Elephas maximus indicus: one gene and its partners. The protein of the gene in region 3 interacts with the protein of the main gene of each other region in a pairwise test. Links are inferred from orthologs where the notes say so. Each region holds a gene or a part of one and is shown on either strand. Other genes may lie near its edges.

The links.
Region 1: the proteins of ADRB2 (region 3) and GPR37 interact in a protein complementation assay, tested with the Homo sapiens proteins (2 studies listed by BioGRID and IntAct, with this or other methods). The link is inferred for Elephas maximus indicus from reciprocal best matches to the Homo sapiens genes ADRB2 and GPR37.
Region 2: the proteins of ADRB2 (region 3) and KCTD13 interact in a protein complementation assay, tested with the Homo sapiens proteins (2 studies listed by BioGRID and IntAct, with this or other methods). The link is inferred for Elephas maximus indicus from reciprocal best matches to the Homo sapiens genes ADRB2 and KCTD13.

Annotation. Positions count from the first base shown.
Region 1 is NC_064826.1:25,080,424-25,087,939, forward strand, and holds the start of GPR37 (prosaposin receptor GPR37), read left to right. Parts: upstream 1-4,445; 5' UTR 4,446-5,180; coding exon 5,181-6,209; intron 6,210-7,516.
Region 2 is NC_064830.1:89,343,266-89,350,197, reverse strand, and holds the start of KCTD13 (BTB/POZ domain-containing adapter for CUL3-mediated RhoA degradation protein 1), read right to left. Parts: upstream 3,066-6,932; 5' UTR 2,713-3,065; coding exon 2,226-2,712; intron 797-2,225; coding exon 627-796; intron 1-626. UniProt on the Homo sapiens protein: Substrate-specific adapter of a BCR (BTB-CUL3-RBX1) E3 ubiquitin-protein ligase complex required for synaptic transmission.
Region 3 is NC_064820.1:163,838,440-163,845,562, forward strand, and holds the start of ADRB2 (beta-2 adrenergic receptor), read left to right. Parts: upstream 1-4,018; 5' UTR 4,019-4,246; coding exon 4,247-5,435; exon of another isoform or gene 5,436-6,116; intron 6,117-7,123. UniProt on the Homo sapiens protein: Beta-adrenergic receptors mediate the catecholamine-induced activation of adenylate cyclase through the action of G proteins. The beta-2-adrenergic receptor binds epinephrine with an approximately 30-fold greater affinity than it does norepinephrine.

The DNA of each region.
Region 1 (7,516 bases), on a different chromosome or scaffold from region 3:
ACACAGTCCAAAGATCTCTGTGGCATGTGGTTTATTTGATAGAAAAGGATACCAATCAACAAAATCAACCCATTGCCGTAGATTTGATTCCAACTAATAGTGACCCTATAGGACTGAGTAGAACTGCCCCATAGGGTTTCTAAGGCTGTAATCTTTACGGAAGCAGACTGCCATATCTTTCTTCTGCAGAGCAGCTGGTGGGTTCCAACCACGGACCTTTTGATTCGCAGCTGAGTGCTCAACTACTGCGCAACCAGGCCTCCTCCAGAAAAGAATAAAATGGTACTAAATAATCTCAAGATCACAGTATGCCTGGGGTTCCTATGAGAACCACTTCTCTCAGTCCCAGAACAAAGCTTCTCTAAGTGTGTTCCAAACCAGGGTACTGCTTGGGGACCATCTGTGAAAGCCACCTCTGAGTTTTGTTAACATGCATGAGAACTAATATAAATTATATAATTTTGTTTCAATCAATTATATAACAAAAATTCATCTCTGAGCAAACACTCTCAGTACTTGTTTCATAAGATCCTTCTATAAACGTCTACCATATTATTGTTTTGTGTGTTTAGAAGACCAGCTAGAGCCAGGCTTTTCTTCTCCTGGTAGGCTGCACTAGATCTCACTATTTCTTCAGGACCACTGTCTGCTTCCACGCTGTGGCTTGATTTGAACTTTGTTGATGATGTCCTTTTTGGTGCAGAAATTTAAAACATTAAGGTAATTCATATTTGTTATTTTTATCTTTTATGCTTTTGAGTCCTACCTGTCTTACTCTGATGTTATAATGATATTTTTGTTTTCATCTAAAAATTTGAAATACTTTTCTGATTTAGGTCTTTAATCTGTCATATATTTTTATATATAGAATGAAGAAGGAAATACAAATTTTGCCATATATCTGTCAATTTTTCCAATAGCATTTATTGAGTAATCCAACTAACCCTACCATTTGTAATGGCAGTTCTTTTCATATATCAAATTCCCATGTAAGATTATTCATGTTTCCTTATTTCCTGTTCTGTTCCATTTGTCTATTTGGCCATCCCTGCACCAACAACATGCTAGTTTTATACTGTAGCTATATCAGTAGTCTTGCTATGTGGTAAAGTCCATCTGTGAACTAAAAAATATATGTATAATTCTATTAGATTTTTTATGTAGGCTTATCTCATCTACAAATAATGCCAATTTTATTTCTTTCCAATGCTTATTTGTTTTTCTTGTCTTATTTCATTGGTAAGGATGTTCAGTACAATGCAGATGATAGAAGAGGTCATTTGTGTTCTGTTCTAATTTTAAAGGGAATTTTTTTTTGATATTTTGACATTAATGCTCACTGTCTTTTATTAGTTGACATTTATATTAAGGAAGCTTCTTTTCTATTTCTAGTTAACAGTATTAATAATGGATGATGGTTGCATTTAACCAAATGCTTCTCCTGCATCTATTGAAATGTATTTTTGTCCTTAAATATTTCAACTGGCTAAATTATAAAAATATATCCTATATTTAAAAAAAATGGATGCTGCTGAATTCAATTTGTCAGAATTTTATTTTGGATTGCTGTGTATATGTTTGTACCAAAAAAACCCAAACCTGTTGCCGTCGAGTCAATTCCGACTATAGAGACCCTATAGGACAGAGTAGAACTGTCCCATAGAGTTTCCAAGGAGTGCCTGGTGGATTCAAACTGCCAACCTTTTTGCTAGCAGCCGTAGCTCTTAACCACTACGCCGCCGGGGTTTCCTTTTACGTTTGTAAGTGCTCAAAAACTGCCTCATCGGAAAGGCTTTCAGTGATCGTCCTTGTAAGTGAGCATCCCTCCCTCATGCAGCACTGTATTCCCTTTCTGTTCTTTTCTTCATAGCACTTAGCGTTATCTGACACATTATACAGTTATTTGTTTAATTGCATATTCCCTGTCTCCCCCTGGAGAATATAAATTCAGTGAGAGCAGAACTTTATTTTGTTCACTGTTGTACCCTTAGTACCTTGAGCAGAATATTTGTTTAATGAATAAATGCTTTTGAGGGAATGAATTAGTGTATTTGAATGACTAAATTAATTTATGAAAGAATAGTGTTATTAGCCTATAATTGTTTGTCTCTGTGTTTCTGCCTGGTTTTGACATCAAAGTTATGCTGGCTTCATAAAATGAATCGATTAGCTCTGGAACATTTTCTACAAGTGTTATTTCTTGTCATCCCTGTTTAGCACAAATGACTAAGCACTTGACCACTAACCAAAAGGTTGGCTACTCCAACCCACCCAGAGATGCCTCAGAAGAAAGGGCTGGCAATCTGCTTCCGAAAGGTCACGGCCTTAAAACCCCTATGTGCGGATCTACTCTGAAACAGATGGGGACCCCGTGAGTGGGAATCAACAGGAGGGTAACTGGTTTTTTGTTTTTTTTTTTTTGGTTTAGCACTGAAACATTTTATTTAAGTGTGTATTTATTTCTTAGACTTTGTTAAGGCTTGGTGCTCTCTTGTGGGTAGATGTTGATGAATGATTTGATTTCTTTAATGCTATTGGTCTATTTAGTTTTCCAATTTTTTTTTTCTTGTGCTATGTTTGATAGTTTATATTTTTCAGAAAATTGTTCCTGTTGTTTACATTTTCAGATTAATTTGGTGGATTGCTGTCGTATAGCTGCAGTAGGAAATTACCACAAACTCAGTGGTAATTTGATGCATTTACACGATGTATTATTTTACATTTCTGGAAGTCATTAGTCAAAAATGGTCAGTCAGGGCCTTATCCTTGCCTTTCGAGCTTCTAGGGGCTGCTGGCATTCTTTGGCTCAAGGTCGCACATCACTCCGACCCCTGCTTATGTCCTCCCATCTGCTTCTCTGATTCTGACCTTACCGCCTCCCTCTTACAAGAACCCATGTGATTACATTAGCCTAATGGGATAATCCTGTATTATCTCCCCATTTTAAAATCCTTAATTTAATCACATTTGCAAAGTCTCTTTTGCCATGTAAGGGGTCATATTCACAGGTATCAGGGATTAGGATGTGCACATTTTTGGGAGACCTTTACTTGCCACCACTGGCATATTTTTCATTGTGTTTTCTTCTCTCTAGATATGTTGCCTTTTTTATTTTAAAATGTGTTTATTTCATCCTTTATTACTTTCTCTTAATCATTTTGTCTGAGACTTGTATATTTCATTAACCATAAGCCCATATCTGTGACAGGGGTGTGGAGTATGGTATACAGGCTAGGAAGGCAGGGTCAGCCACGCTGGGAGTTTTGTTCAAGTTAATACCTCCCCTCCTGTCATTTTCTAAGAGGAACACTGGTGGCGCAGTGGTTAAGTGCTTGGCTGCTAACCAAAATGTCCGCTGTTCGAACCCACCAGTTGTTCTGAGGGAGGAGAATGTGGCAATCTGCTCCTGTAAACATTACAGCCTTGGAAACCCTATGGGGCAGCTCTACCCACTCCTGTAGGGTCGCTATGAGCCAGAATCCACTCCACGGCAGTGGGTTTGGTCACTTTCTACACAAAGGGTTTGCACTAGACTACTAACCTAAAGGTTCGTAGTTGGAACCTACAGAGCAGTGCCACCCAGGAAAGGACTGGTGATCCTTAGTAAAGATTACAGCCAAAAAACAAACAAAAAAAAACCTAAGGAGCAGCTTTTCTCTACAACACAGGAGGTGCCACGAGTCAGAATCGACTGGACGGCAATGGGTTTGGTTTTTGGTTTGGATCATTTCCTACCACTTCATCAAACAAAACTGCGTCCTTCGTGCCCTGGCTGGTTCTAAGTAAAGCCTTAGAGGATGCTTCCTAATTCAGTGTTAAAGGTAATGATGTATCCGCATCCTCACTCTTAAATCCTGCCCCCGGACCTGCTAATCTTCGGTGATTGAAACCTCAGAGCTCCCCTTCTCCCCTCTCTCAGCTCCTGGGAATACCTAAGGAGGTGAGCGCCTCACCTTTCTAGTCCCTCGGTTCTGAGGCTCGGGCATGCGCACCGGCCGCGCCGCTTGGCGGCGACAGCGTGGGTCTCTCGCTGGCACCGCGGCTCCGGGACCAGTCGGGCTGGTTCCGACAGCTGGGGAATTAACCCGTCCCGCCCATTCCCTAGCCTCGAGCCGCGCAGACTCCGCGCCTCCGCCCTTGTTCCTCGCAGCTTCCAGCTCGTACGAGTGAGAGCCTCTACAAAGGGCTTGAATGAAGCGTCCGTGGCTTTAGTAAGTCCTAAACCACCAGGGGATCCCGTCTTCCCACAAACCAGCGTCTCTCTGAGGAGGAGGGGCAGGCGGCGAGGAGGCGAGCCATCGGTGTCGCCGGCGCGCGCAGCAACTGGGGCGGCGGGGAGAGGCCGGGCCACCGCCCCCTTCCCGGCCATGCACCGCCTCGCCCGCGGCGGCTCCAGGCACCGCGCTCCCCGCCCGCGCGGCACCGGCTGTCGCGGCCACCAGCTCCTGTGGCCGCCGGCACCGGCCAACGAGGTGCAGCGCCGGCCCAGCCCCGCGATCCTCTTCCCCGCGGGGACCCGCCGCCCGGGCCGACCCCGCGTCAACTTTGGGCCGGAACAGCAGCAACTTTGACAGTGGCCACAGGTTTCCCACCCCGCTTCTACTCGGCAGCAGTGGCCTCGCGGGTCTCCGGGGCTCATCCGCTCGGCGTCTGGCTGTTTGCAACCTGTTTCCAGCTAGCGGGGAGCGGGAGTGTGGCTGCCAGCCGTCTGGGGGAGGGGGACTTGTTTTTCCTTCCCTCTGGAGACCTCGGCTCGCAACTGGATAAAGCAGCATCGAAAGGATGTAAATAGGCAGAGCAACTGTTACCAGGAAGGCGATCATCCAAGGCAGGGAGAAGCGTGGGGCTGCGTCCGGGCTTTTCCCAGGCGCAACATTAATCAACAGTCAGGTGTTGGTGGTAACTTTTCAAGGTCAGCCACCGGGAGCAGCGGCTTCCTTCTCGGACCCTTGGGGGTACTCAGCGCTCGGATTGGATTTGGAGGAGGAAATGCCAAAAAAGGAAGAATTTTAGGGAGGGTGTGACCCCACGACCCATCCTTCAACCTCCCCTTAGTCTCTGGCCCCCCACTGCCTGAGCGGGGGTGAGTAGTGACATGCGTTTAACTCGCAGCAGTAACTTAGGCTGCGGGTGTCGAGCCTAAGCCTCAGTTGCGCTGCCGGGTGCGCCCACGCGGAGCCATGCGTGTCCTGGGCGCTCCGCTCACCAGCGCCTTGCGGCTGCTGCTTCTACTGCTACTCCAGGTTTCTGCGGCTCCTGCCCTCGGGGCCGCTCCGGAGTCCGGGAATGAAACTTGTGTAGGGGAGAGCTGCTCACCTACACTGACCCAGAGCCACAGCAGGGACGTTTCAGGGACGGGAAATTCTACAAAAGACGTTCTGCGAACCCTTGCGCCCTGGGAGAGGGAGGAGCTGGAGGCAGTGGTGCGCGCGGTGCCCTCCTGGGACCTGTCGGCGGCCCGGGGCGGTGACCCAGGTGTGGCAAGAGGGGCGGAGGCGGCGGCCAAGGGGCTCTCGGGACCCCTGACCAGGGCGCCTGGCACCTGGAGGCGGAAAGGTGTCTGGAACCAGGAACCCCCAGGAGCTCTGGGGAGGGGCTATCCCACAGCCCTGCGGCGCTTACTGCAGACCTCAGAGGAGAAAGGGAAAGGTCCTAGGGGCCCTGGCATTTCGGTGCGCAGCAAAGAGCACACTGTGAGGACAGAGCTCGGAACCAGCGACCTTTTTTACCGGCCTAAGAGAGCCGGGAAGCTCCAGGGTCCCCACCGCGAGCCCCCACCTAAATCTGTCAGTGGACCCGCGGGGCACGAAGGGCGGACACTTGCCCCTCCAGGCAGGGCGCTGGCCCAGAATGGGTCTTCGAGTGAAGGGGTCCTGGACCGCGGCGGACCCCGCCGGGGAAACAGCACGAACCGGCGCGTGAGACTCAAGAATCCCTTCTATCCGCTGACCCAGGAGTCTTACGGAGCCTACGCTGTCATGTGTTTGTCGGTGGTGATCTTTGGGACCGGCATCATCGGCAACCTGGCGGTGATGTGCATCGTGTGTCACAACTACTACATGCGCAGCATCTCCAACTCCCTCTTGGCCAACCTGGCCTTCTGGGACTTCCTCATCATCTTCTTCTGCCTTCCGCTCGTCATCTTCCACGAGTTGACCAAGAAGTGGCTGCTAGAGGACTTCTCCTGCAAGATCGTACCCTATATTGAGGTAATGCCTCCCAGGGGGTCTCTAGCTGCTGGCTTTACCGGTTTCCAGCATTCTAGTATTAAGAAGCTTCTACTGGGCACACCTGCCTTCCTGAACCCTTCACTTTTTCTCGGGATCCCTCCTCCATTTCTCTTTTCAATCATTTATGCACGTATGTATAAAAATAGGGAACTTTCCACAGGCACCTGCAAACTCATCTTCTTCCTGGGGTTGTGAAGAAAAAAAAAAATCACATGATGTATACAATTGTTTGGATTATAAATCTGTCTCTCAGAATATGGGGTTAGGTATATACCTGATGTGTCATCTGTCAGATACTTTAGGGTTAACAGCCAGTCTGCTGCTGTCTTTATCAGAGCCCATTAAGGAAAAAAAAAAAAAAAGAAAGAAAAAACTTCAGCATCTATCTCCTAGATAACTTGTGCTCCAACGTGACTTTTCCCCAAGCAGATTACTGAATTAAGCACCAAGCTGCTAGCTGCATTTTTTCTTTACTTTCTTAAATACCAAAGTTGGAGCAATATGTTATTAAACAAAGGAAATCTGCCTTTCTTGTCAGTTGGCCTCATAATATAGTAATGAACTCCCAAATTAGTTCAACTGTCTTTGGCTGTCTTCCATGCTATCCTATCTAAATTCTTAGGTCATTTCTTGTTTCTTTCTCCTTTTCAATTTCTTCACCATTTTATTTATTTCGTCTGGATGAATGAGACATTGGCCATGCTGGTGCAGCCTGTTTAACGCGCATGAAGTGTGTACTCTATATTTGCCATTTGTTATGGGTATAAGAGACTGATTGTCTTAAGGAATTGACTCTAACATTAGAAAATTTCTTAAGAAGAAAGGGGCATGTGATAAGTTCCAAAGCTTTGGAGATAGAAACCTTTCTAAGTAAAATCTTACTATCGGATCCTACAGCTAGTGCCTGAACTGTTGTTGTGGTGGTTGGAATTTGCTCTTTAAATGGCCTCTCTTTAAACACCAGCTCTTGGAAGGAGCCCAAGTGCTTCACCGCCAGTTGTGTTGTTAGCCAGCTGGCCCCTGATTTTCTCCATTCAGACTGTCCATTTCATTTATGGAAGCAGAAGAAGGGAAACTGTAAATATTCCAGAGCCCCTGATCCTGTCTGGCTCCAGGGCCAGTGACACCATGTTCAACATTGTTCCAGGGCCTAAAGCTAGGGGTAAGTAAACAGAAAACAGTACTGACTTAGAAGGACCCAAGCAGGAGACAGTAAATAAGACTCTGTTATCCTAACAAGAATCAGAGGCAGTAGCATTCCCTGCCTGCTAAATCCGCTGTTGCTG
Region 2 (6,932 bases), on a different chromosome or scaffold from region 3:
CAAAAGGTCAGCGCTTCAAACCCATCAGCCACTCTGGGAAGAAAGATGTGGCAGTCTGCTTCTGTAAAGATTACAGCCTTGGAAACCCTATGGGGCAGTTCTACTGTCCTACAGGGTTGCTATGAGTCAGAATCAATTCAATGGCAATGGTTTTTTTTTTTTGGGTTTAATATCTAAAAAGGGGAAACCCTGGTGGCGTAGTAGTTTAGTGCTACAGCTGCTAACCAAAAGGTCAGTGGTTCAAATCCACCAGGCGCTCCCTGAAAAACTCTATGGGGCAGCAGTTCTACTCTGTCCTATAGGGTTGCTATGAGTCGGAATCGACTTGATGGCAACGGGTACAGTTTTGTTTTTTCTTAAATCTAAAAAGGGAACTTGGGGGCGTAGTGGTTAAAGCACTTGGCTGCTAACCAAAAGGTTAGTTGGCCAAACCCACCAGCCACTCCGAAAGAGAAAGATGTGGCAGTTTGCTTTCGCGAAGATTACAGCTTTGGAAACCCTATGGGGCAGTTCAACCCGGCGCTATAAGGTCACTATAAGTCGGAATTGACTCGACAGTAGTGGGTAGCTCTCCCAGGGCCATGGGCATAGGCGTGGGACTCAGGAGGTAGGGGAGGGGCCCTCACCTGCAGGGCCAGCTGGCAGTCCTCAATCAGGCCCTGTACCAGGTAGTAGCGTGCTTCGCCTAGTAGCTCCCCTAGTTCTCTGGTACTCTCAGGTAGTGGCACAGACCCGTCCCGCAGGTAGTTGAGGATTGTACCAAAGTGGCGGCCGCTCCGGTCAATCAGCACCCAACCTGGTAGGGTGGAAGGAGGCAGGAGGAAGGATGACTTTGCTGGGGGGCCTTGGAACTACTATGTTTTTTATGAAAAAAGGATTCCAAGGTTATAAGGAAGTCTGAATTCTGATCCGCCCCAAACTTTTGTCACATTCAAGAAAATCCTTTAAAACATCTTCAGTCCCATAGACCCCTTTTAACATTTCCAGCCACAGCGAATCAATTACCTTCCAAGTGTATTCTGTGGTCAGAAGGTTCTCAGCCATGAGAAAACTGTTATAGAATTACCTTATCAGTAAACTTCTAACCTGTCTTGTTGATTCTGATCATCCCATTTACAATGTCTATACCCTGGTGGCATAGTGGTTAACTGCTATGGCTGCTAACCTAAAGGTTGGCATTTCAAATCCGCCAGGCGCTCCTTGGAAACCTTATGGGGCAGTTCTACTCTGTCCTATAAGGTCACTATGAGTCAGAATCGACTCGACTGCACTGGGTTTGGTTTTTCTGTTTATACCCACCCTCCAGGCTGCTACCATCTTAACTTTTATTTACAGTCTTCACAGAATGTATTACTATCTGCAGTTACATATATATATATATATAGTTTACTTGCTTATTGTCCCTCCTCTCCAAAAATGTAAATTCCATGGGAGTCTTGTCAGATTCCTTTACCAATGTATCTCCAGCATTAACTGACACTTCACAAATACTTGAGTAAATGAATTATTCACCTTCTGTGTGCCACCTCCCCAACTTTTGTTTTTCTGCTCTCACAATTCTTGTCAACCTCTTCTGAATTCCACCCTCCCCTCAAATTTTAATGTCCTACCTGGGCAGTGAGGCCCAAATCTGAATGAATGGTAAGGTAACTGCCAAGGAGAACTGTCCACCCTTAATCTAGGGTCCCTGGCAAACCCAAAGCAGCCTTCTCCTTCTACAATCTGCATTTACAGACAGATTCCTAAAGTGTATAGGAACCTGTGTTAGGAAGACACAGACAGACAAGATCTCCAGGCTGGTGTTAGCAGTGCCCAGGCATAGATGAACAAATGCTTGCGGAGTTGGAAGAAACTGATGAAGGTGGCCTGGAGGGGGTGCTGCTGGCAACAAGGCTGGTTCCCAAGTCGCGGGAGCTGAGCGGTGAAGGGTAGGAGAAATGGGGGCGGAAGCGGGTAACGTGGTGGAATGAGGACTGACTTACCGCAGCGCCTGCAGGGCTAGGGGCTCCGTAAGTGTTGGTTACTGCTGGGGGTAAAGGATAGGAGAAGGAGGGAGATTATGAATGAGAAAGGGAAGATGAAGTGCGATGTGGGGGCTGGAGAGAGGCGAGAATGAGTTGACTGGACTGCACACAAGAGAAGGGGCGTGGGGAGACTGGGCGACGAGAAGAGTCGGGGGGAAGGAATCTGGGGAACGGAGCATGGCACAAGGGCGGCGTGCATACCTCCAGCGTCTGTGAGCACTTCCACGCGGCCGCTAAACATGGCTTTAAGCATGGTGTCCTGTCCCGTGAGGGTGCGCAAAGTGGTGTAGTGCAGCGAGCCGCCCACGTTCAGCTTCACGTACTTGCTGTTCGGGGTCAGCGGACTGAGACCGTAGGCGGCGGAGCCAGGCTCCAGACCCGAGGGCTTCGCGACTTCCAGTGACGGGTCCACGGCCGCCGCCGGGCCCGAGGCCTCGGCCGACATGCCAGGTGGTGGCGGTGGGCGGCGATCCCGGGCTCTCTCTGCGCCCTGCGGCCCGCTGCCAAAGACTCCCTGATCCCGGCCCCTGAGCCAGAGCGCTCGGCCCACACGGCCACAAGCCACCGCTACTAGGCGACACTGGTCCTCAGCCTGACCGCGTCCGCCAGGCCCGGAAACCGGAGCCCAGCATCTGCGCAGGCGCGTCAAGGCCCCGCCCCTGACCGCGGGGAGCCGAGTGCGGAGCATGCGTAGTGGTTCTGGAGGGCTGCGCGCCGGGGGCCAGCGAGGGTTCCGGTGCTTGCAGCTCAGGGCCGGGGGCCTCTCGCGAGTCCGGGAAACCAGAGCGAGAAGGCACCCAGGATAAGCTTGCCTGACGTGGAATACTACGTTCCCGCCCGCGTTTGTGTCTCTGATCTCAGTCCGCTTCCCGGGCTTGAAGGGAACATGGATGCCCAGAGAGGGGAAGGGGATTGGGCAAGGTTTCCCGCCTCCCAGACTCACGCGCTTGACAGGCTGCGATGAGAACTGCGAACGGGACACCAACGGTGGCTCTTAAAGGAAGTCGAAAGAGGCTGGTCTCCTAGAGAAGGTGGCAGGGGTGCTAGAGCCTGCAGCAGGGACGGACTACCCAGCAACCAAACAACGTTCAGGGTTACTTGTGTTGTCTGATCTGGAGTGCACAATTTCACCTGGTTTTCACTGGTGAAATTGTGCACTGCAGATTAGTGAATAAGCACAAGTAAGTCTATGCGTACCTTGCTTACTGGTTAATCCGCACCTGGCCTGAAGGGTGTGAGTAGGTAGGTCCCTTAGGGAAGGCCTCTCTGAGGAGGTGATTCTGAGCTGGGACTGAGAAGTGGAGATGTGAGGGAAGAGAGTTCCAAGCAGAGGGATCGGCAAATACAAAGGTCCCTAGGCAGGCACAATCTTGTCACACAGTATTTGAGGAGCAGAAAGAATGTCAGGGTAGCTGAGCAAGGACCTTAGAATCCCAGATAATGTCATGAGACCTAGTGCCTGTAAAAGATTACTCAATCACGAAAGAGGAAATGAAATAGGAACACAATGTTGACAAAATGTGGTGAGAAGTGTTATTTTCAGACCTAATCAGCATCCAGTTTAGAGGATAACAATTACCTGAATGTCTAGCAGGGGGATTTACTGGCGGGAAAACTAAAGACAGAGTTCTAGTTTCAATCCAGCCACCAGTTCACAGAGTGATGCTAGACAAGTCGCTTGTCTCTGGGCGTGGTTAGCTTCTTTTTTGCTTAGTAAGGTGATGCAAATTTAAATGCCTGCAGAGGACAGGCAGGAACGTAAATAAATGAAGTTAGCCAGTTATAAGATTTTGGGAAATAGTGGGGCTTGTGGTGACTTGGAGAGCTCATAGTCTACCAAACCAAAAACGCTGTCGAGTCGATTCTGACTTATAGTGACCCTATAGGACAAAGTGGAATTGTCCCATAGGGTTTCCAAGGAGCAGCTGGTGGATTTGAACTGCTGACCTTTTGGTTAGCAGCCAAATGCTTAACCAGTGTGCCACGGGGGCTCCTGTTCTACCAAAAAAAAAAAAACAAAAAAACATTTTCGATGAGTCAATTCAGACTCATAGTGAGTCTATAGGACAGAGTAGAACTGCCCCACGGAGTTTCCAAGGAGTGGCTGGTGGATTTGAACTGCCAACTTTTGGCTGGCAGCCAAGCTCTTAACCATTGTGCCACCAGGGCTCCATGCTACCAAAAACAAACAAACCAAACCGGTTGCCGTCAAGTCAATTCCGACTCATAGTGACCCTATGGGACAGAGTAGAACTGCCCCGTAGGGTTTCCAAGGAGCACCTAGTGCATTTGAACTCCTGACCTTTTGGTTAGCAGCAAAGCTCGTAACCACTATGCCACCAGGGTTTCTGTTCTACCAAAACAGTTTGCTAATTCTGGTTTTTCAAGTGTAGCTAGAGAGAGAAAAAAGCAGCTGTTGACAGCTGGGAGTTGGTTTGCACTGTGCCTCTAGAAGCTGTGGTGTTGCTAGGAGCTGGCCTTGCACTCATCGCTAGGCTGTGGTGTTGTTCTGTTGAGCATAAACAGTTTCACAGAGCATCAACATCAGACAAAGCCACTCTCTGATTGATGGATCCAGAAAAAGACCATTCTGTAATCATGTCTGAACACAAAAAGAGGATATTGTTCAAACCACGAAAACGACCAAACAACCCTTTCCACCTGCAGTATGAATTATTGCTGCTGCTTTTATTATTATTATTATTGTGGTAAAATACATAGAACATAAAATTTACCGTTGTAACCGTTTTTAAGTGTACAATTCAGTGGCATCAAGTACGTTCGCAATATTGTGTAACTATCACTACTAATTGCAGAACTTCTTCATCACCCTGAACAGAAACTGTACCCCCTAAGCAATAACTCATTACCCTCTCCCTCCACCTCTGGTAATTTCTAATCTACTTGATGCTTTTATGACTTTGTCTATGCTAGATATTTTATGTAAGTGGGATCAAACCGTCTTGTCTTTTTGTGTCACTTAGCATGCTTTCAAGGTTTATGTTGCAGCATGTATCAGTACTAAATTCCTTTTTATGGCTGAGTAGTACTCCCTTGTATGTATATACCACATTTTGTTTATCCATTTGTCTGTTGATGGGCACTTGGGTTGTTCCCACCTTTTGACTATGGTGAATAATAATGCTGCAATGAATATCGATGTCAAGTGTCTGTTTTAATTCCTGCGTTCAGTTCTTTTGCGTATATGCCTAGGAGCAGAATTGCTGGATCATGTGGTAATTCTTTGTTTAACTTTTTGAGAAACTGCCAATCTATATTCCACAGTGGCTGTACCATTTGCGCCAGCAATGCACAAAGACACTAATTTCTCCACATTCTCTCCAACACTTGTTATTGTCTGTTGTTTTAGTTTCGTCTTTTTTCCTTTATAATAACCATCCTAGTGGGTGTGAGGAGTCTCTGAATGATGCAAACAGTTAACCTGCTCAATTGCTAACCAAAAGATTGGAGGATGAGTCCTCCCAGAGGCACCTCAGAAGAAGGCCTAGAGATCTACTTCAGAAAAATCCAAACCAAAAAACCTGTTGCCATTAAGTCCGACTCAAAGTAGAACTACACCATAGGGCTTCCAGGAAGCACCAGGTGGATTCAAACTGCCAATCTTTTGGTTAGCAGACATAGCTCTTAACCCCTAAGCCACCAGGGTTTTTTTCCAAAAAAAATCAATCACTAAAAACCCTATGGAGGTTCTACGGTCACACAGATGGGGTTGCCGAGAGTTGAATCCATTTGATGGCAGCCCTGGTAACACAGTGGTTAAGAGCTATGGTTGCTAACCAAAAGGTCACCAGTTTGAATCCAGCAGCTGCTCCTTGGAAATCCTATGGGGCAGATAGTGTCACTACAAGCGACAGGTTTGTTTGGTTTGGTTTGGTAACTGATAAGCAAATCAAAATCATAGTTTTGATTTGCATTTCCTTAAGGATTAATGAAGGAGCCCTGGTGGCCTAGTAGATTAAGTGCTACTACCCAAAAAGTCAGTAGTTTGAACCTACCAGCTGCTCCATGGGAGAAAGATGTGGCAGTCTTCTTCCATAAAGATTACAGCCTTGGAAATCCTATGGGTCAGTTCTACTCTGTCCTATAGGGTCACTATGAGTCAGAATTGACTCTACGGCAATGAGTTTGGATGGACTAATGATGTTGAACATCTTTTTATGTGCTTATTGCCCATTTGTATATCTTCTTTGGATAAATGTCTGCTCAAATCCTTTGCCCATTTTTAAATTGGATTTTTTGTTGTTGTTGAGTTGTAGGAATTTTTTATATATTCTGGATATTAAATGCTTCTCAGATATATAATATCCAAGTATTTTTTCCCAATCTGTGGATTGTCTTTTTGCTTTGTTGGTAGTGTCCTTAGATGCACAAAAGTTTTTAATTTTGATGAAGTCCAATTTACTTTTTCTTTTTTTGCCTGTGTGTTTTTTTTAAGCGTTTTTTGGGTTTTACTGTAATATTTAAGAAACAATTGCCAAATCCAAGGTCATGAAGATTTGCTGCTGTTTTGTTCTAAGAGTTTTATAATTTTAGCTCTTACATGTAGGTCTTTAGTCTATTTTGAGTTAATTTTTGTGTATGGTGTGAGAACCCACAATATATATAAAGAAAAAAATTGACAGATTTGAAGGGAAAAATAGACAACTATAATAATCATTGGAGACTTCAATACCCCACTTTCAATAATGGATAGAACAGACTAAGAGAAGATCAGTAAGGAAATAGAGGCCTTGAACAACCCTATAAACCAATGAGATATAGCAGACACACGTTCTACTCAAATGCATATGGTTTGTTCTCCAGGATAGATCATACATTGGGCCACAAAATCAGTCTTAATAAATTTAAAAAGATTGAAATCATATAAAGTATTATTACCAATCACAA
Region 3 (7,123 bases):
TATGCTCCTTTTTTCAATTATTTTTTCCGGCAATTCAAATTAAAAACAAATTACTCATTATCCATGTTCAAAGTGTCCTTTCACACATATGAACAGATAAGACAAATATGCTTTCTATGCATATTTTTTGATTCAAAAACAAGATAACACTAATAGCTATCTCTTTTCCAAGGCACTGTGCTAAGCACTTTACATGCATTTAATCTCATTTAATAGATACCTCTTTAGGAAGGTAATATTAAAGACAGACCTTTAAAATAATCACTTAGAAAGAAATCTACAGACGTCTCTCTGCTCAAAGAATCATAAAGATGGGAGGGACCTTGTCTAAACCAAGACACAGGATAAGTTTTCCTAATCCATTCAGCCTTTCGTGGGAGGACATTCTCAACAAGATAATTAAGCACTATGGCCTAAGATACCCATTACGTGTAATGATTTAACTTCTCTCATGTCCCTAGATGGTCATTGTTCCAACGAAGCTATGTATCATCCTTGGGAGAATTGAGAAATGTAGTCACTCTAATAATTTTCTTTAAGGTTTGATTCTCTAGCAGAAGCCCAATTAAGGAAAGCTACTAGGCACCACAGAGCCTTACTCTTAAATAATTCATTAAGTCAGTCAAAATGTGTGTCTGTGTTCATGTGTTTGCCTGTTTGGCAGGCAGGAAGCTACAAATCAGTCTCTTAAGGGATTGACAAAATATGTAATTAGACACTATCAATCACCATAAAAAAGCCTGCTTTTTCTTATAGCAGATAAAGGTGCATTTAATCTACTAAGAACTTCCCAGCTCAACTGCAGCATTAACTCTCTAAGGCCATGAGCACAAACAATAAGCAGTGCTTGTCAGACTCCTCTGCTGGGAAATGGAACAGTAGCGCCGGGCAGTAACTGCATACCAGGCCAGGAGGCAGACCTAGACTCCTAATTTGCCCTGCCACTTTGAACCAGACACTTCACTTTTCTGCCCTTCAGTTTCCTTATTTGCAAACTGAAGGCAATAAGCTAAATGATCTATTAAACCCTTTTTTAATTCTAACCTTCTTCTAATCCTATGATTTGAAAAGGAGGTCAGGAGAAAAGACTCTTGGCAAGAAGACAACAGCTCGAAATTCCTACCAGCTTGGTGATGCAGCAGAGAGAGAGAGAAATAATCCAGTTGGCAAGGCTGGTGGGCAAGGGCTTGGAACTTCTTAGTAGACATAAGCAATTTCCCCTTCTCGATTTAGCGTTTGTGGTGTTTTTAAAACGTATTTCCCAAAATACTCAGTTAAATTTTTAAGTGACTTACGTGTATATCTAAGTGATCGATTAGTGTTTGTTCTAAAAGGGTTTTCTTTGTTCCTTTTCTTGTATGTGAAAGTTAAACAATATGCTTATTTATTCCATAGTTTCACAAACAGGAAGGAGGTTTTAAATGGTTTAGTTCCACAATTTGGAGTAGATGTATATTTAAGGAAACTTTGTTACATAACAGACACTGCCTCTTCCTAAAATGCATCAGACCAGAGCCAATTGTGGAAAACATAAATATGAGGTGGGTATGTTTTGAAAACCATAGGAACATAATAGATCCTTAATTAATATCTGTGGCTTATATGGGAAATGTGCTTTTTTTTTTTAAGGCATCTGTCTTAGAGAAACAGCTTCTGCTATTGAAAGAAGTTAAAGGGAACTTGTAAGTTGAATACTGTCTCTGAGCTTTGCTTCTACAGTAAACACTCAACTTACTTTCGTCCTGAATTATTGTCTGGTAGAGGAGACTAACAGTATATGCTAAACGAAATAATTTATATAAATATTACTTATAACCCATTTGATTCTCACTGAATCCAATAACAACAGAAAAAAGTTACTTTATTCCCTCTGTAGAGGCAGATGAAATTAGGCTTCATCTTTGTAATGTGCCGAAGGAAAACCAAATCAAAATCAAACCCATTGCAGTTGAGTCGATTCCAACTCATAGAGACCCCATAGGACAGAGTAGAACTGCCCTATAGGGTTTCCAAGGGGCAACTGGTGGATTCAAACTATTGACCTCTTTGGTAGCAGCTGAGATCCAAAGGAAAGTTGAGCTAGAAAGTTCCAAGACAGGTAGACCTGGAATCTGTGTATTCTAATACTAGTTGCAATGCTTCTTCCCTATCTTGCACTCCTTTCTGCACGTAATGATACCAAATCTGTTGCCATCGAGTTGATTCCGACTCATAGTGACCCTATAGGACAGGGTACAACTGCCCCACAGGGGTTCCAAGGAGTGGGTGGTGGATTTGAACTGCTGACCTTTTGGTTAGCAGCCCAGCTCTTAACCACTATGCCACCAGGGTTCCTGTAATGATACGGTATGCAGAAAAGATAAAAGATGGCTTTAGAGCCAGACAAAGCGGGGTTAAAATCCTGCCTCTGGCCATGTGCCTCTAGGCAAGCTATTTCGCTCTTTAAGGCCCATGTGTGAATTAAGTTAAAAATAGTACCCCGGATTGTAGGAAGGATTAAATGGAATAATGTATGAATAGTTCATAGGAAATGTTCCATAAATGTTATCCATTGTTATTTTATTATGTAATCTGCAAAGTATGTTTGACTACATTGCATGAAATACTTTCCATTTTTTAAAGACATACTGATACGTATGAAATCAAACACTGGGCATTAATTTTTTCATAACAGTAAAGTCATATGCCAGATGCCAAAGCAAAGTATTTTGTGGACAAAGACTTTGGTTCTAAGACTGGTCTGCTTTTTATTTTTATTTTTGTAACAAGGAAGAATTATCTTTTGCTTTCTGTACTTTCAAAATGTTCTTAATGTCAGCACATTCTAAATAGATTGAGCCATACGAAATTGCCATTTTGTGGGTCAAACACATCCAAATATTGGCAATTTCATATGGTTCAAACAAATAAATTATAGAGCAAATGAAAGATTTTTTTTTCTTCGCAATAGGTTACTGAAGTAGTCCATGTTGAAATGCAAATGGTCCCATTTTCAATACATTTTCATTCCAACAGATAATGAGGGAATAATGCCACATTCCCAAGAATTAAAAACAAAAGCATACAACTTTCTCCTTCCACCCCCAAGTACATACGTGAAGACCCCAGTTTGAATGAAATCCAAAGAGTAAAATTATGTCTCAATACCCACAAAATTCCCAAGGAGGGCACCAAAAGTACTTGACAGCGAGTGTACTGAGGAAATCGGCAGCTGCTGAAGTCACCTCCTGTGGTCTTGCCAAATGTTTGAAAAAGGAATATGCTGGGTGTCTGTGTGCGGGGAGCGTGGAAGTAGGGGTGGGGGCTGCATTTATAAATGCCTGAGTGGGGGGGTTTGTGAGTAGGGACAGGGACGACCGTGTCTGGGTCGCTCTCCATGTCTCTGCGTGTTCCTGTGGGTTCATTTCTTTCTGTGTGCGACCACGCTTTTGCACTTCTGTGTTTGCTTTTGGCCTCGCCTCTGTGTTGGACAGAGGTGACATTGTGCCTGTCTGCTTCTGTGTGTGTGCGCGCGCGCGTGTGCATGTTGGTGCGCTAGACGGGTGTGTCTCCGTGTCTGTGGCTGTGATTCCGTATAAGTCTGAGCATGCCTGTCGGGGTGCATTTGTGCCTGTACGTGCGTGTCTCGGTGGGCACTCTAGTCTCTTTTTCCGCACGTCGGGGACTGCCGGTGTGCTGCCCGCTGCGCTAAGACCTCATTGCGTTCAGGCTCCCGGGACAGAGAGGTAGCAGCCATATGAGAGCCCAAAGCTCCTAGGTTGGCTGTTAAGCACGCCGGACCCAGCTTTAGCATTCTGGGTGCAGCCCGGAGTAGCCGGCAGGGAGTGGTGGCCCGCCCGCCTAAAGGGTAGCAGCTGAGCCCCGCCCGAGCCAGGCCAGGAGGGGGAGAGCTAGGGGCGGGAAGGGAGGGGGGCCTCGCCCTTTCGGGGCTGCCCGCGCGCCATTGGCGGAAAGTTGACGCACGTCACGGAGAGGGCAGTTCCCCTAAAGTCCTGTGCACATAACGGGCTGGGCGGACTCAGAGGCGGCTCCTGCAGGGCGCTGGCTGCGACTGACGGGCACAGCGAGCCCAGGGCACCCCGCAAAGCTGAATGTGAGGGACGCACCCCACTGCATCCACCCCACGGCCGCTGAATGAGGCTTCCAGGCGTCCGCTCGCGGCCCGCAGCGCCCCGCCGGGGGTCCGCCAGCTGAGGCGCGACCAGTGCGCCTGCAGCAAGTGCGCTCACCTGCCAGCCTACGCGCCATGGGGCAACCCGGGAACAGCAGCGTCTTTTTGCCTGCGCCCAACGGAAGCCACGAGCCGCACCACAACGTCACGCAAGAACGGGACGAGGCGTGGGTGGTGGGCATGGGCATCGTCATGTCGCTTATCGTCCTGGCCATTGTGTTTGGTAACGTGCTGGTCATCACGGCCATCGCCAAGTTTGAGCGTCTGCAGACGGTCACCAACTACTTTATCACCTCGCTGGCCTGTGCGGACTTGGTCATGGGCCTGGCGGTGGTGCCCTTTGGGGCCAGCCACATCCTCATGAAAATGTGGAGTTTTGGCAATTTCTGGTGCGAGTTTTGGACTTCCATTGACGTGTTGTGCGTCACTGCCAGCATCGAGACCCTGTGTGTGATCGCAGTGGATCGTTATTTTGCCATCACATCACCCTTCAAGTACCAGAGCCTGCTGACCAAGAATAAAGCCCGGGTGGTCATTTTGATGGTGTGGATCGTGTCAGGCCTTACCTCCTTCTTGCCCATCCAAATGCACTGGTACCGGGCCACCCATGCGGAAGCTATCAACTGCTATGCCGAAGAGACCTGCTGTGACTTCTTCACGAACCAAGCCTATGCCATTGCCTCCTCTGTTGTGTCCTTCTACTTGCCCCTGGTGGTCATGGTCTTTGTCTACTCCAGGGTCTTCCAAGTAGCCAAAAGGCAGCTCCAGAAGATTGACAAATGTGAGGGCCGCTTCCATGCTCAAAACCTCAGCCAGGTGGAGCAGGATGGGCGGAGTGGGCATGGACATCGCAGGTCGTCCAAGTTCTGCTTGAAGGAACACAAAGCCCTCAAGACTTTAGGCATCATCATGGGCACGTTCACCCTCTGCTGGCTGCCCTTCTTCATTGTCAACATTGTGCATGTGATCCAGGACAACCTCATCTCCAAGCAAGTTTACACCCTCCTTAACTGGGTGGGCTATGCCAATTCTGCTTTCAATCCCCTTATCTACTGCAGGAGCCCGGATTTTAGGATTGCCTTCCAGGAACTTCTGTGCCTGCGTAGGTCTTCTCTGAAGGCCTATGGGAACGGCTGCTCCAACAACGGCCACACCAAAAGTGACTGCACAGGGGAGCAGAGTGAATATCACCTGGGGCAGGAGAAAGAAAGTGAACTGCTGTGTGAGGACCCTCCAGGCACTCAAGGCTTTGTGAACTGTCAAGGTACTGTGCATAACGATAGCATTGATTCCCAAGGGAGGAATTGTAGTACAAATGACTCACTGCTGTAAGCAGTATTTCTACTTTTTAAGACTTCTCCCTCCCCAAGGAACACTAAACAGACTTGTTAACTTGAGTGTAATAAATTTAGAATAAAATTGTATAGAGATGTGCAGGAGGAAGGAAATCCTTCTGCCCCTTTTTTTTATTTTTTTAAGCTGTAAAAAAAAGAGAAAGCGTATTTGAGTGATTATTTGTTTCTTGTACAGTTCAGTTCCTCTTTGCATGGAACTTTTAAGTTTATGTCTGAAGGGCTTTTGTCCCAGAGGACCTGGGTCTGCTGTTTTGATGACTCCTCCGTGTATCTACCTCACTGGTCAAGTGTTAGGGGTAGCGTTTTGCTGCTGGTAATTTACGTCTGAAGGAGATGTTCCTTCCTGCACCCTTGGACTTGAGGATCTTGTGTATCTCGGACCTTTCAGCTGTGAACATGGACTCTCCCTGCTCCTCTTATTTGCTCAAACAGGGTGTTGTAGGCAGGGATTTGAGGGGCAGCTTCAGTTGTTTTCCTGAGCAAAGTCTAAAGTTTACAGTAAATAAATTGTTTGACCATGACTTCATTGCACCTGTTTCTCCAAAACCCCTTGATTGGAGTGTTGTTGCCTCCCCCACTGGAAACCACAGGTAACTATTTGTAATAACTGCTCAGTGACTTAATGCTGAATGATCCAGGAATGACATGTGCTGATTGCTTAACGCTTTCGCCTGCCTTGAAATCGGCTGCTACAAACCTGTATCTCTCCTAACACTTGTGTTCCAAATCCGTTCTACCTGCTCTCAGCATAGCTCAGCTCAGCCTCCAGTTATGATTCTGTGTTGTTACATCAGAAACACTGACTCATAGAAATGGAGCTGTGGGCATATGTTTTGTCCCTCCACACCCCCCCACCCCCCCCCCCCTTTCAGTTCTGCTTGTTTGAGAACTGCTTATATTTATGTCTTTGCCATGTCTTATAGTGGAGAGCCTTGTACTGCATCAGGGCTTGACATTTTCAGGAAATAAGGAAGATGTTCTTATGAAAAATCTATTCAAACAGAGCCCAGCATTCCAAGGGAGGGCAAACAGGGCACTGGTCACCGAGAGAAAAGCTGGGAAACATGTAGCTATGAACACCTCAAGACCGTGAAACAGGGTTTTAGCCCTTCTTCCTTCTGTCGCCTTTTTCCTTTTCTTTTGACCCGTCTCACTTCAATATAAACCAGCGTTTCTCAGTGTCAGCATTATTAGCATTTTGGACCAAATAACTCTTTGTTGTGGGGGACTGCCCTGTGCATTGTTGAATGCTTAACAGCATCTCTGGCTTCTACCCACTAGATGCCAGTAACACCACCCACCCAGTTGTGACAATGAAAAATGTCTCCAGACACTGTCAAATGCCTCCTAGGGGTGAAATTGCCCTTGGTTGAAAATCTCTGGTACAAACTTTTAAAATCTAAAGAGATTTTAGATTCTGTCTAATGCAACAGTTTTACCTTGCAGAGCCTCTGAGAGCTATGGCGATATTGCTCCTAGTTGAGAACCACTGGTATAAACTTTTAAAATCTAAACAGATTTTTAGGTTCTGTCTAGTGCAATGACTTTATTTTACAGAGCCTGAGAAAGGCATTTTTCAGTTTACCCAGTCAGTGAC